Linked DNA regions of Pelodiscus sinensis. The protein of the gene in region 2 interacts with the protein of the main gene of each other region in a pairwise test. Links are inferred from orthologs where the notes say so. Each region holds a gene or a part of one and is shown on either strand. Other genes may lie near its edges.

Region 1 (7,375 bases), on a different chromosome or scaffold from region 2:
GAAATACTTTTAATGGAAAAACTTTTCCGTTATAAGTATTTCCGCAAAATCATGCCAGTCTAGACACAGTCGATAGGTTAGAAACTGCTCCTGTATGCAATGTATTGTATAATTGTCCACTAGGGGGTTTCCTGAGTCTTCCTCTGAGGCAGCTGGTGCAGGCCATGGTGAGAGGGATTAGATGGACTCTGGGTCAGATCCAGTATGACAATTTCTGTATCATCCGAGTGTCTGTCATTGAATGAATAATTATCCCTCTTCCCCCCTCCAGCCCTGGGAACAACACCTCCCTCCAATTACAAATTAGCAGAAGTTCCCTTGTCCCAGGAGAGGCTGGGACTAATTTAATCTTACTTACTATAGGATTGGGAGGAGAGAGGCTGGAGAGAGTCCCTCCTCTGCATGATCAGACAGGAAAAGCTCTCTCAGGCTATGTCTACGCTACATCATATGTCATCATAACTTATGTCACTCAGGGGTGGGAATAAACCATCCCCTGAGCAAAGTAAGTAATACCAACATAAGCTCCAATGTAGACAGCGCTATGTTGGCTGGAGAGGTACAGCCACCCTACCTGAACCAAGAGCTGGATCACACCCTCCAGACCATACCCTGGGGCTCCTTGTTCTCAATGTTTTCAGCAATAGGAGTCTAGGCCCTTCAGTTGGTAAAACAACTCCCCAGTGTCACCAACCCCTCAGTGCTGTGCAGCTGTTTCCTAGCTCTAGTCAGAATAGGTTGAAATGTAAAGATCTCAGTTTTCTGGCCACAACTAATGAGAGACTGACAACTGTCTGCTAGTGCCTCAAGGGCATGAACCCTAGAGGAGGACTGTGTAAGGGGGGAGCTATTGGAAAAGAACTGCGGCTGAGCCAAGGAAAAGATGTTCTGTGACCATCCCTCAATGCTTAGGGATCTGGGAAGCCAGGAGCCATTTCCCCCAAAGAAGTGGCCCAGAAGAACCCCATCACTCTGGTCACTAGGAACTAAACCTCTGAGTGGAACTACTCATATGCCTAAATACCCTGCTGAATTGAAGGCTAGGCATCCTGGGAATGGAGCGAGAGGAAACATCCTTCCCTACATAGTGCAGGAGGTGATGTGGATTTTCCCAGCTCTGATGTCTACTTTTTAAAGGCATTTTTCATATTCTATAAAGCCACAGGAGAAAAGACTGTCCCCTGTAGTATTAACCTTTATCTTCATGACCCCAGCTGCAACTCGGAATGTGGGAGGCAGTCAGAGAAATGCAGTATTTAGCTTTCTCAGCTAGATAAAAAAAATCGGGGAAGCCCCATGCCATAAAGCACTTGGTATTTAGAGTCTTTTCCATGTAATCCACTATCGCTGTTTTGGCAGTTGATTTTCTGTATAGGTTTGCCATGAATGTGGGTAGCTGAATGTGCTCCCTAGCACCTACAATGCAGCAGTGAAAAGGCTGGCTCAGGAGCATTTTATTCTTTTACTATTTGGGACTTGTCTTTGTCCAAACTGGTAATGAGAGTTTATATTTGCCCAAGGACTAATAAGTCATAGTGATGCCATCTGTTCCCTACACTCTGCCTCACTCCTCTCTCTTCACCCTCCCTCCTTTCCCTCTCTCTCCCTCAGTCATTTTCTTCCTTAAGTCTATTAACCTTTAGCTATCCAAAACAGCAAAACCATTTCTAAAGCACCAGCTTCTGCACCAGCAGCCTTTAAAAGAGATCCCCTGGCTTAGGCTATAACACTGCATGTGGGGGCTGGGTGGAACAAAACTACATGCCCACATTTTGGATGAATTGTTTGTGACTTTTTCTCCCATGCCCCTGTGCTGCACATAATGCAAACATGCAAAGCCTCAACACACAACCAACCCTCACCAAAGCCCAGCCCACAGCACCTCCAGTACAAAGAGCCCCTTCCCACCACACTCGCAGCACACCCAATGCTCAAAACAGAGGGCCACAAGGCAGGCAAACACCATTCCTGGCAAACAATGCTCGGCACCGCCGCACTCAAAGAGGGAGAGATCAGCATTCAGAGGGACTCAATCTAGGCGCTAGCAGCATTTAGCACAGCTCGCACCCTCACCCACTCGTGCACACCCACAAGCGCACGCACGGCACTAGTGTACTCCCACCTCCTCCTGTGACATTACTCTAACGTGGTCAGTCTAACAAAGCCCTCCGCCACCCACCCCTGCCGATCGGCTCGGACCCCGGCCGGCCGCATAGAGCGGCACTGCCCCCGAGCGTCTGGCCAAGTCGGCACGGTTTGCCCAGGGGCGGCAGAAACGTGCAAGGGCTTTGCAAAGCAAGCGATCGGGGAGCAGCCCGCGCGTGGGGCTAGCTTTGTGGCCCGGGAGGCGAGGAGCGGCGCAACGGGAGCTCAGCGCGCAGGCGAGGCGAGGGCGAGACAAAGCGGCCGAGGAGGAGAAAGAGCGAGCGCTGTGGCGGCACAAATACTTCTGCCCCGCTCACGTGTGCATCGCACGCGGGGCCGCCGCTCCACGCAAAAGCTATTTCAGCGCCCAGGACCGGAGGGAAGCCGGGGGGAGGAAAGGCGCCCCTGAGAGGAGGCGAGAGCAATGCGGGGGGGGGGGGGCGGCAGAGAGTAGCCAGCCCTGTCCTGCCCCTGCTTTCCCCGCGCCGCCGCTGTCATGCGAGGATCGCCGAGCTCTTCCCAGCGAGACTGACAGGAGGGGGCGAGGAGGACGGGGGCCCAGCAAACGAGCGCAGGGTCAGGCTGGGGCTCACCTTGGCACCCACTTCTGCCGGCGCCTCTTCCGCGCGTTTCTCCGACATCCTGGCTGGTGCGGCAGCGGGAGCAGAGGAATTACCCACCAAGCAACGCCCGGGAGCCCCTGGGAAACGAGCTAGCGGAGACTGGGCGGCAGGACCAAGGAGCGCAAAGTCCCAGGCACCCAAAGGCCAGTGGCAGCAGCTCGTGTCCGGGGCCAAAGTGCCAGGGTCTCCCGTCCCGCCGTGCTGGGGGATATGCCAGAGAAGGGGATTTATACACCACTCGGTGACGACGGAAGGAGGGACCTGGGGAAGGGAGGGGAGAGGACTGGGAGGGAGAAGAGGGAGGCACGACGCACAGCAAGCCAGGTTGGTGGAAAGAGCCTTGGAACAACGTGCGCGCACATCTGCCCGCCCGCTGACAAGTAGGGGAAGCAGCGCCGTGCGCTGAAGGGGTGCTGGGAGCCCGGGGGTCAGGTCCCGGCGCTAGCAGTCACCTGTTGGATGACCTTGGCCACATCTCGGAGTCTCTGTTTTCCCACCCCTGCCCAGTCTATCGGCCTGTGTGCCAGCTCTTCAGGGCAGGGACCCTGCCTCACTGTGCATCGTACTGATCGGGATGGGACGCTACTGCAGTAGCAATACTAACAAATAGCACATTGCTCTTCACCCTCTTGCAGAAGAGAAGCGAGGCCGAGACAGGGAAAGTCACACAAGTCAAAGCAAAGAGCCGAAATCCTGCCTCCCCAGCTGCTCTCTAGCCCATGGGACCTACGTCCTCTCAGAAGGCAACCCAGAAGCTCTGGCCCCAACTCTCTCCCATTAGCTGTGACTTACTGCTGGGTCTAGGGGTGGAGCAAGAGCACGGGGGAGATGCCGGGGGTTCTTAGGTGACGGGCTGAAACTCCCTGACATGAAAAGTGCTACTAGCCACCATCTTGTCCCCTGTGCCTGTCTCTATCTCGCCTTTGCTCCTATCTCCTTAGGACAGATGGAAACTCTTGGCTTTATCGTCCAACCACTCTAACCGCTGACACTTCAGCTATTGGTCGCCCTATGATGCCACTGCGGGGGCTCCCCCATTCACACCCGGCCCAGCTGCGGGCTGGAGGACGCTGGGGAGGAAAAGGGTGCTTGGCACGAAGGCAGAGGCGGAATTCTGGTCCCGCCTTGACTCAAAACATCCCTGTTGGGTCTGGCTCTCGGGCCCAGACGTGACCCTCGGCCCCCTCCCCGCAAGCTGGGCCCGAGGCAGCCCGGCACCGAAGTGACAGAGCAATCGCAGCCCGGCTCGCCAGTGCCCCGGCGCTTCACACCAGGCGCTCCGCCCTGCAGGGCTCGGTCTGGGGCAGGGCGGCGAGGAGCCATCCCCACGAGGGGCGCTGGCTGCGGGCGCAGCGCCCAGCAGGAGTCGCGGGGCTGGGGCTCCAGGCGGGCCAGCAGGAGGCGCGGGGGGAGGTACGACGTGCCTGGCAGAGCTGGGCGGGGCGGGGCACTAATGTCGCGCGCGCTTCCAGCCTGGAATTTTCCACTCCAGCAGCCCGCGCTCCCCGCACGCCCCGCCCCTCCTGGCTCCATTCCCACCCTGCCCTGCTCGCTCCGCCCCCCACCGCCTGCGCCCAGGCAGGGCGGGGTCGGGTCGGGTCCCTCCTGCGCGGGAACCAGGCAGGGCCAGGGGTGTTTTTCCCGCGCTCTGCGGATGGGGGGGGAGGGGGAAGTTAATGGGGGAAGGGAAGAAGCGGCGCCCAACACTCCATATAAGGAGGGACAAATGGGCGGGCATCCGATTGGGTAATTCAAATGAGCATTGGCCTGGCAACAGGCTTCTCATTGGCTGCGGGAAACAATTCTGGGCAATGGGGAAAAGGCGCACAGGCGAGACTGGGAAAGAGGCCAGCAGGCGGGGAGGGTGTTACTATGGCAACCAGGGAGGGGTCTGGGTTTCCGTGGGGGGCGGGCGGCGGCGGCGGGGCTGACCCGGGCTGAGCTCCGGCCAGTCGAGTGTCCCTGGGGCCGCTGCCCCCAGCGCACGTGGCCGGGGGCCGGGCGCCGCCGCGGGCGATGCCAGGGAAAGGGCGGCGGGGATTGGCGCTGCGCTGTGCGCGCGGCTGGGGCAGCCCGGGGCCCGCCAGACAGCGGCCGGCTCGCCGCGCTCGCTGGGTCTGTGGCCGGGGGGCTCGGGCCCGTCACGGCCCCGCTTCCCGCCGCGGCTGAGGGCCCCGAGGCGCTGGAGCGCGACGCCGCCAGCAGGCGCGAGTCTGTGCGCGAGGTGCGGGGCAGTGACGCCGGCTGGCCGCGGGGGCGCTGCACTGGCTGCCCGTCCGCCGGCCCCAGCTGGCGCCCAGCTCCGTGTTGGGCCGTGTCCCCTCCCAGGCGCCCCGCCCCTGAGCCAGGGAGTTTTGTTTTTGCGCCAGTACTGAGGTCGCCGTCGCTTGTCCGGTGTGTGCCACCGCAACCCAAGCTATGACCCGCTCCCTTTCCCCTCACTGCCATGTCTCCCAGCCTCCCCCCGCCCTCCTCTGCTGTCCTGGCTCCTGCCCTTCTCACTCCCCTCAGCTTTTTGGGGCCCAGCCCCATCCTCATTGACCCCTGCATCTTCCCTTCCTCCTGTGCCTATACCTCCTCTAGTCCCCCGCTCTGATCAACTGCCTCTTCCCCATTCCCTCACTGCCATGCCTCTCTCCTCTGGTGCCCAACCCTCCTCTCCAGGGCTGTGTCTACACTGGCGCGATCTTGCGCAAAAACTTGCTGCCTGTCTACACTGGCTGTGTGTTCTTGGGCACATAATCTGACATTCTGCTGTATGAAATCAGGGCTTCTTGCGCCAGAACTCAGATGTTCCCACTCAGGAATAAGCCCTTTTGCACAACTGTTCTTGCGCAAGAGGCCAGTGTAGACAGGCAACACGAATTTCTTGCGCAAGAAAGCCCGCTGGTTAAAATGGCCATTGGAGCTTTCTTGCGCAAGAGAGCGTCTACACTGGCAAGGATGCTCTTGTGCAAAAGCACATGCCAGTGTAGACGCTCTCTTGCGCAGCTACTTTAAGGCAAGAACTCTTGCACTGAAGAGTTTTTGCACAAGATCACGCCAGTGTAGACATAGCCCAGGTGTCTGCCCTGCTGCTTAACCCCCCACAATACTCTGGCACCTGCACCTTCTCTTACCCCTGCACCTTCCTGGTGCCTCCCCCTTTGCTCACTGCCCCTACCCTCCTTGCCCGCTTTCTCCCTGATGCCACCACCTCCTGCCCCAGTTCCCCTCATGCCCCTCTGAGCCCTCACACATGCCTTGCTCCATCTCCTGCCTTTCTCATGCCCACTCTCCTTTCAACCCCTCTTCTTCTGGCACCCACTCCTCCCCTCTCCTCTTCTTCCTGCTTGCCACCACTGCCCCTCTCCTTGCATCACCCTGTTTCCCCACTCCCACTGACACCTTCCCGCCCCCTCTCCTGCCCTTTTTCTCATTGTCTCCTCTTGACCCCCTGGCATTTGTCTCTTCTGCACCCTGCCCCTTAGTGCCTGCCCCTTTCTTCTCCTGCCCTGGCCTCCCTTTCTCTCAGCACAAGCCCCTTCCTCTAGTTCTCTCTCTACCCCTTTCGTAACTTTCTACTTTCAATGAGGAAAACAGTTTGCTGGGACCGCGGTCCTATTTTTAGTTCTGCAGTCCCAGCTACAGAAGCCACCACAGTCCGGCCCCCCAGCTGCTCCCGGGGCAGGACCATGTGGCAGGACTGCAGCAGAGGCTGCCTACAGTGCTGTTTTTAGTACCACAGTCCTAGTCCCCAGGGCACCTTGGTACTAAAAATAGCACCACGGGTGGCCCCAGCTGCCTGCCTGACAGGCTGCTGGCTCCATCCTCGGCAACAGTAAAATAATCAGGTAAGCGATAAGAATCCATGAGGTTGATTATTCACTTAACCAGTATTTAATGTCCCTAGACTGAGATACAGAAGCTTTCACTTTGAAGGTCCTGGTTTCAGTCTAATTTCAGTCAAGGAGACTGGCTGTTTCAGGGAGAGGGCCCTGCACATAGGTGGTAATCCCTGGTACATAGTTGCAGATCAGATGGGGATACAAATTTTGTGTTTCGTAGAGCACTAGAGATCAGGTTAGAAGATATAGAGCCTTTTGTTATAAGGGCTCAGGTTCTAGATCTAGCCCTCTTCAGTGAAAGTTGTCCCCAGATGATAGTTTGGGGACCCCTCTGTGAGAGGTTTCTGAACCTTGTTACTAATGAAATACTTGTTCCTATTGCCATACTTGGAACACTGCTTAGTGTTCTTATTAAGCACGATAAATGATCCACAAACACTACACTCTCCTTTTCCAGGATGGAGAATGCTCATGCACATTGCCAAACATAGGGCTGTCCCTAGGGAGACGTGGGGCCAGGGCAAGTCTGCCCCCCTAACCTGCCCCTATGCTGCTTCTGCTTGTGCCCTGCCCTCACTCCGCTCCTGTCCCTGTTCAGCCCCCACCTAACCCCTGCTTTGCCACCCTCCCACTTCCATTACATCCCTTTCCCAAAGCCCCCCTCCCCCCATGAGTGATGCAAGCTGGGGCAGGGATTGGGTCCTCCTGTAGTCACCATAATGGCAGGAGCTAAAGCAACCTCGCAACTTGCTCCACTCTGCACTCATTGCCCATCTCCCA
Region 2 (7,614 bases):
AGGTCACCTGAGGCCTCGGCTAACGGCCACAAGGGCTGGTCGTCCTCCGCTCTGCCTAAGGCACAAATGGGAGAGCTACAGCAGGGGTCTCAAACAATTCATCTCAGGGCCATTTCTCAGGTTCTCGTGGGCCACCTCCCCCCAACTCCGGCAATGGCTCTGGGAGGCGGGGAGGATGTCCCACACACACCTGTCTCCCAGCCCTGCCTGCCAGCCTGCGCTCTTCCCGCACCCCGCGTGTCCCCCAGCCCTGTCTGTGCCCCCTTCTCCCCCAGCACTGGCAGTCCATGGGGCTAGAGACAGTTCTTGCTGCGAGCTCCGTGTCGCTCCTGGCACGTGGGGGATGCAGGGGACGCAGAGCTGCCCCACCCATGGGATGGCTCAGCGTGGCCGGCTCAGGCCCCACAGTGGCCACACCCCACCCCACCCGGCTGCCCCACCCAACCTGGGGACAGGATGGGTCCCATACACAGGTTAGCCCGGGAGGCTGCTGCATCACTCCACTTCCCCACGGCTCCCACCACCGCAGTGTGGGGGAGCAGGGGCTGACCCCAGCTGTCCCCCTGCCAGGCCACCAGAGGCTGCGTCTGATGGGGGAGGAGTTTGCGGAAAGGGATGCTATTGGGGGAGGGAGAGGGCACAGCAGGGGTGGGAAGAGGGTGGGGGTGGAGCAGGGGCTGGACTTGGGGGAGGGTACAGACAGCCCTTCAGGGCTGCAAGGATTCCTGTGCCGGCAGCCGGACTGGGGCGGTGGGTGGCCCTCCAGGGACACCGGCACTGGCCATAGCGCAGTTTCATGGCAAGTCCCGGTCTGACGGCAAAGCACACGCTGCTGCGAGCCCGGCGGGTGTCTCTCTGGGCAGAGCTGTCAGACCAGAGCCCCCCGACGGCTGCGTCCCACCCACAGAGAACCCCACAAAACCAGCTGTGTGCTGCATCAGGGCCCTCCCCGCGACACTGACAGAGGGGCCCAGACTCCAGTGGCACCGAGATCAAATGGGATCCTCCTCTCCTGCGACTGAGGCCTACTCCTGCCGGCGGACCCCAGGCCGGACTCCCGGGACCTGCAGCTGGAGTGCTGGGAAACCGAGCAGGGAAGGTGGAAGACACAAGACCCTGCTTGACTCAGCCGTGTAGCTTTACTTGTTGCCCTTCCTGCGGGCTGGCCTGAACCTCCCCTGCAGAGTGCGGCCAGTTCCCAGCGGGTGCAAAGGAGGGCAGCTTTCCAAGTTACGCCGGGGAAGAATCTGGCCTCTGGCACGTTCTGAAACTAGCGTAGGAGGCAGGGACGTGAGCCAGACGCCTAGCTTCCACTGAAGCGTGGATCTGAGCCAGGGGCCCTGCCCCCTGGATCTGTCCAGCCTGGTGTTAAACACCCCAGAGAGGCAGGAGGTGGCTCTCTTCCCACCCACGTCCTTAGGAAACAGCTGATCTGATAGCAAAGACTGGCCCAGCCCAGCTCATGTCACGCTGTCGTCAGCCAGCCACGGTCCGACCCGCGACGGCTCTGTGTGTGTGTGTGTGGGGGGGGGGGGATTGCTCAAGTCAGGATTAGTCAGAGCCAACTAGACGGTGTTCCGGAGCCCTGGCCGTCTGTTTCCCCACTGGCAGGGCTGCGGGTTGCAAAGGCAGGCAGGGAAACAGAGCTTAGCTCCGAGAACACGACCCCCCGAGATCAGGCTTGCCGGGAACGGTGGAGTCAATGCCAGGATTCTACGTGCAGGATCTCAAAACAGGAGCACATGCCAGAGGCCAGCCGCAGTCAAGAGAAATAGCATCACCTTGGGTCTGGGGGCCCCCCACTCCGCCCTGCCTCGGCACCTGCCCCAGTGCCCAGGAGTTCAGAGGTAGCGAGACAGGCAGTGCCGGGCATATGGAAACTAGCCCCCAACCTCAGCTGGGCAAATGTCATGGCCTTCCCCAGCCCAGAAACTTTGGGACCCAGCCAGGGTGCAGTCAAGTCAGTGACCGGGTGACTCCCGAGGGAGCAGAACCGGGTGACTCCCCAGCGGATGGAAAATGTAGCGGAACCCCCCCACTCCCACCGCGTCCTAGCATCTCTCCGCCCGATTCGGACGCGCCAGGACGGCCACAAAGCGAAGCAGATCCCAGAGCGATTTCCCAACACGGGGAGCAGCGCTCCCTTCCCACGAGCCCCCAGGCTCCACAGCAACGTCGCCCTCTGGGGCAAAGGGGTGTGGAAATCGTCAGAGCCCAGCTGGACTCCATGGGCCTTGGACAATTTGCATTAGCGGGGAACCTGTCTCCAGAGGTGTCAGTGCCCAGGGCCCACGGCGGGGCCCCGAGGCTCTCAGCAGCCGGTGTGCACCCCAGGCGATGCCCCCTTTGGAAAAACTGGCCCCCATCCTGTTGTGAAGTGGGTACCTGGGGGTCACCCTGGTCCCAGTGGAAATGCTGCTGCCAGGGATCAGAACCTGGGCCTATCATGTGCTCAGTTACAACAAGCGAAAGCCCAATTTAAAAAATCAACAGCCGGTGTCCCCTCCCGCCCCTGCCACCCACCCCCTGGCCAAACAGCACAGGGCGGAGCAGCCCAGCAAGGAGGACCAGCCTCTCCCAGAGTCGAATGCAGACCTGGGATGATTTCGATGGGGCTGGTCCTGCTATGGGCGGGGGGCTGGACTCGAGGACTCCTGAGGCCCCTTCCAGCCCTGGGATACTACGACTAACTGGGCTGACTTGGAGCCCATCACACGCCCCAGGATTTGATTCCCAACCCTGCGGACGCCAAACACCCCAAAGAAGGGGAAGTGGAGTGGGGGAAGCAGGGTGACACTTCACACATCCCACCCACAGCCATGCAGAAGGGGCATCCCTCCTTACCTGTGGGACAGCTCCGGAGCAGGTGTCTTCTCCTGCACGCTCTACCTGCCTCTCCCACGGGCCGGTGACTTTATAAGAGCAGGTGCTGCCTGTCTGGGCGGGGCCTCGCCCTATCAGCTGACCTGGCCGTCAGCAGATTGGAATTCGGCAGCCCAGGGAACAGGCAGGTGCCGGAGAGAGAGAGGAAGTCTTCCTCCATCCAGGCTCAATGTTGGCGAAAGGTGCTAGGATCAGGGGTTTTTTTGTGACGGTACTGCCCAGGACACTGTACTGGAACCTCCAGTCAGCGCTTACCTGGAAAGAACAGAGCATAAGCATACCAGCACCTCTCTACAGGCAAATGTTCGACAGTCGGCTGGGCCGTGTGTCTTAAAGGGGCTGCTTGTCTTAAAAGGGCAAGGCCGGCCCCACCCCATCTTTTTTTTTTGCTCAACAACTGGAGTACTGGCACTTTTTTTTTTTAAACAAAATAAGCACTGGCTAGGATCACCCATGCCCAAAGTCTGTGAAGCAGGGCATCTGCGCCTCAGGCTGCTCTGCGCAGGCATCTGGAGTCCCCGCCTCTTGGGGGCATCGTTTCCACCATCGCTCCTAGCATGCGGGTCACTGGCCCGAAAATGGCCCAGGGGCTCAGGGTGTAGATGGGAGGCAGGTTCTAAACTGGAGAACGGCTTCCCTGAGCTCGGGGTGGGGAACCTAAGGCTAGGAGCTGGATCCAGCCCTCGACTTGTCTGGAGCCAGCTCTCCCGGCACCCTTGCAGCATTGGGGAGCCGGTGCTGGCACTCCAGCCCTGCAGCCTCGTTGCCCCGAGCCTCGCTGGAGTCAGGCAAGCCTGGAGCTGGGTCCAGCCCTCAGACTCTGCCTGGCAGGGGGAGGAAGTGGCTCCAAGCGCTGCCCCTCCCCCTCCCCTGGGCTGGGGAAATGGCAGCACAGACCACCCCCCCTCCCAATGCCCAGCCTGCTCCTGCACCCTCCTCCCCCCCCACATCCTCAGCCCCCACTCTGCTCCTGCCCCCCACCTTCCCTGCTCAGCCTGCTCCTGCACCTTCCCACTCAGGCACCACACTCCACATGCGCTTCCCAGCAGCCCCCCCCACACACACACACATTGAACCCCTCCCTGTTTTGGCCCCCACCCCAGAGCCTATGGGGGGGCACAAAAATCTACTAGCCTGCCCCCCTGCCAGCTGTGTGTGAGGGGAGCGTGAGGAGGGTCTTTCAGTTGCAGGTGAGGGGTTTTTCCTTCTCACTTGTGTGCAGCCCCTGACTGATTTTCCTGTGGAACAGAGGCCTCCCACCCCAAAAAATCCCCCCCCCGTCCTATCTGCAAGGTCAACATCAAGCACAGGGGCAGCGCGGCCTAGCGGGTGAGGATACAGAGCAGGGACCAGGGCTGACTCCCGGCTCTGCTCTCTGCCTTGTGGCCTTGAGTATGTCACCTCCCAGCTGCAGGCTGGGGTCGCTGCTCCTGCCCATCGTTCCCTCGCCTCAGCCCAGTCCGCTACGAATCCCTCCCGCCGCCGTGTGACCCTCTGGGACAAATTCAAAGCTGCTGCGAGGCCTTGGTCCTCCCTGAGAGCCTGGTTGCCGCTGGCAACCGCTGCCCGGCGTTGGCTAGCACATCGCACAGCCTGGGCCCCAGCGGCAACCAGACCCACAAGCTTGGCCAGCATGGCGATCGGAGCCTCCGCCCCCCGGATGAGAGGAGAGCTCATGTGGCGCTTGGTCCAGGGGTGCAGGATACGGACACAGCCAGGGGCTGTTAATACTGGCACTGCCTGGGCCGCTGAAGGGGAGACCGGCCCGGCCAATTCCATTGGCTTGAAAGGGCCCCGTCTGCAGCCAGGGGCCAGGTGACCCTGGAGACCCCATGACGACAGGGTGTTTGCAATGCTCAGTGCTGCATGGCCACGGTGAGGGGCTGCGAGTCACCGTGTTACGCCAGCTGATGGGAGCCTTGCTTGGGCTTGGCGGGGTGCAGGCTGGCCAAGGGGGGGGGCGAGGGGGGCGGCAATTCAAAGGGGCCCAGGGTTCTTGGTTAAGTCATTGGCACAATGTGGATGGGGCGGGGACTGCAGCGAGCTGGCTGCCTCAGCCCCGCCCCTTCCACCTGAGGCCCCGCCCCTTTCTGGGAGAGCCGAGCCCTCCACCTTATTTAGGGGCCCATGGCGGCTGTCAGCCCCGCTGGCTGGGTGGCAGAACCTGCCGCCAGCAGCCTGTCAGCCAACCACCTCTTCTGGGCCATCCCAGGCTCGCCTTGCAGATCAACAATTTGCACCCGGAGTCCCTTTGCCGCGTCTCCCTGGGACATCCCAGCCCCTCACCCTGGCCACGCCCAGAAATCCCAGCTCCTCTGCCTCCAAAGGGCCTGAGCACCCAGCGTCTGCCTGAGATCCCAGTCCCTGTGCGGAGCCCTGGGGAGCCCTTGCAATGACACCCCCGGGGGCTGCGTTATGGGAAGAGAAACCTTCAACCAAAACTAAGAGGCTGGTGCACGCCACTGGCTACGATTCAAAAGAACAGACCAGCCTGGCCTGACGCTCCTGGGACCCCTTTCCTAGCTAACAAGGCAGGTGCCCCCCAATACCGTTTGCTGCTGAGCAGCCTGGCTTCCCAGGAGCCAGCGCCCAAAAGCTCAAGAAAACTGCCCTGCCCCCCAACGGGCTCCTGAGTGAAAGGAGACAGGGAGCCCGTCCTCCGCTGGCTTACGCTGACACGCCCGCGGCTTGTTGTGTTTCCTTTATCACCTGCCCCCTGGCTTTGCGTGTTTGCCATTGCCACAGATGGGGTTTTGCCAACATATTGCGCAAGGCCACACAAAGGTGAGACCAACACCCTACCCGAATGGGCCGGCGCGGAGACACGTCGTCCCCAGGGACTCTCTGCTACCCCCAGACAGCACAGTCTCAATAGAACGACAGGCCTGGCAGAACCTCTGAAAACCGGGATGCTCTGGTCTGGCAACTCCCTGGCAGGACCCCACAGCTGTTCCTAGGCCAGGCAGCCCCAATGGAGGGGACTCAGCCAGCGGGAGGGACTGGCCGGGAGCCAGGCCGCAGGGCAGCGGGGCAGGTGGTGGCAGCCATGGGGCAGGTTTGGCAGCAGCTGTGGGGCAGCCTGGACTGGAGCCGGTGGCAGTCCCGGGCCAGCAGCCACTAGCAGCCTGAGCAGGTCATTGGCCAGGAACCCAGCAGGGCGGGATCGGCCAGTTCAGGGCAGGATCGGCCAGTTCAGGGCGTGGCGGAGGCGGCAGGTTGGCAGCTGGGCCAGAATTGACCTCTCTTGGCCCGGCAAAATCCCTCCTCCGGGACCAGCCAGGTGCCGAGGGTGCTGGAGCAGGGAGTCCGACCTGCAGCCCCTCAGTCTTATCCGCGCACGCGACCTGCAGCCCTTTCTGCAGTGACTCCCTGGCTGACTAGCCAGCCAGACGTGCTCGGGGCTGAGCTGAGAGTTGTTTGCAAAGCTTAGGGGATCCTTGGGCACAGGGTCGGTCTGACACCCTGACACTGATGCAGCAGGACAGGATAGTGGTTAGGCTACAAGCGCAGGCCTGGGCTCGCTTTTCCGGCCAGGGAGTCTCCTACCCTGTTTTCTTTCCATTTGCAGGACACAGGCGCCTGCTGTTCCTGCTAAGCTCCAGTGCATCGCCGCAAATGGGTTCCTTGGGGCTGGACGGGGGGGGGGGGGGGGGGGGGGAGGGGCGGGAGGCAGGATCTGACAACACCCACGCTTGACTGTGGAACAGCTACCGGCTTCACGGTTTGCCTGCCCCTTGGTACTGGCGTTCCCTAACAGAGTAGCTTTGTACAGTCGCGGGTGGGGGCGGAGGGTGCAAGAATGTAGCGAGGTCTTTCTTGTGGCTCTGTGCATTGTCCCTGGCACTGAACACAACTGTGTCCAGCTCCCTGTCAGTGGCACATCCCAAAAGTTAATTAAGCCTCGCCACCCCCGGGGAAGGCAGCACGACTAAACCCATTCTACAGGTGGCAAAACTGAGCCGCCGCCGGCTGCACAGACATCCGCGGCCGAGTTAAGAACAGGGCCCAGGAGTCTGCATGATGCTCCAGCCTGGCTCTGGAGATGGGGATGGGCATCTGGGTCTGATACCACCAGGTGAGCGGTCACAGGCCTTCCCCGCAGCAGCCCGCGTCGCAGCCAAAGTACAGATTCCACGAGCCCTTTGCATCCAGGAAGAAAATCAGTCGCCTTCCTCGCAGATACTCATGGGGATGGATCTCTCCAGCGGAGGGGGGGCCTGTGGATTTCTACGGCGCGCAGGGCACACACCGAATTTCAAAGGTATCACGGGAAGACCAGGTTCGGACACAGGTTGCCTGCAAGTTTGTTCTGCACGGCCTTTCCCTACACACACCCTGTGGTCAGCTTCCCCCTGGGCTACACGGGGGCGACGCCGGCTCATTGGACCAGAGGGGGAAGATGCTGAGAAGCAGTTTTTCACCCGGCAGCGTCAGCCTGAGAGGCCCAGGAAGTAAGGGGGCAGGGAGCACGGGGGCAACTAGGAGGGCAAACCTGCCCCCGGGTGTTCCCTGCTGCTCTGATGTGGGGCACAAACCCAGAGGCCATCACATAAAAGCAGGAACCTGCTGGTTGTTTGGCAAACCGCCCCCTCCCTCCCCCCCGTGTGCACCGTCACCCTGCTGCCCGCAGTGTGCGTTAGACACCAAAGGCCTTGGAATGCTGCCCAGCCGGCTCTGGGCCATCACGTCAGGAGGGCACATGGGGCGGGCAGGCTATTTTTAGCAGCCGCC

What was found. The genes of interacting proteins can lie anywhere in the genome.
Region 1: the proteins of SDCBP2 (region 2) and PTMS interact in a two-hybrid assay, tested with the Homo sapiens proteins (2 studies listed by BioGRID and IntAct). The two-hybrid records come from large-scale screens. The link is inferred for Pelodiscus sinensis from reciprocal best matches to the Homo sapiens genes SDCBP2 and PTMS.

Annotation. Positions count from the first base shown.
Region 1 is NC_134711.1:138,425,038-138,432,412, forward strand, and holds the start of PTMS (parathymosin), read right to left. Parts: upstream 3,022-7,375; 5' UTR 2,787-3,021; coding exon 2,739-2,786; intron 1-2,738.
Region 2 is NC_134728.1:2,655,336-2,662,949, forward strand, and holds the start of SDCBP2 (syntenin-2), read right to left. Parts: upstream 3,081-7,614; 5' UTR 2,845-3,080; intron 1-2,844.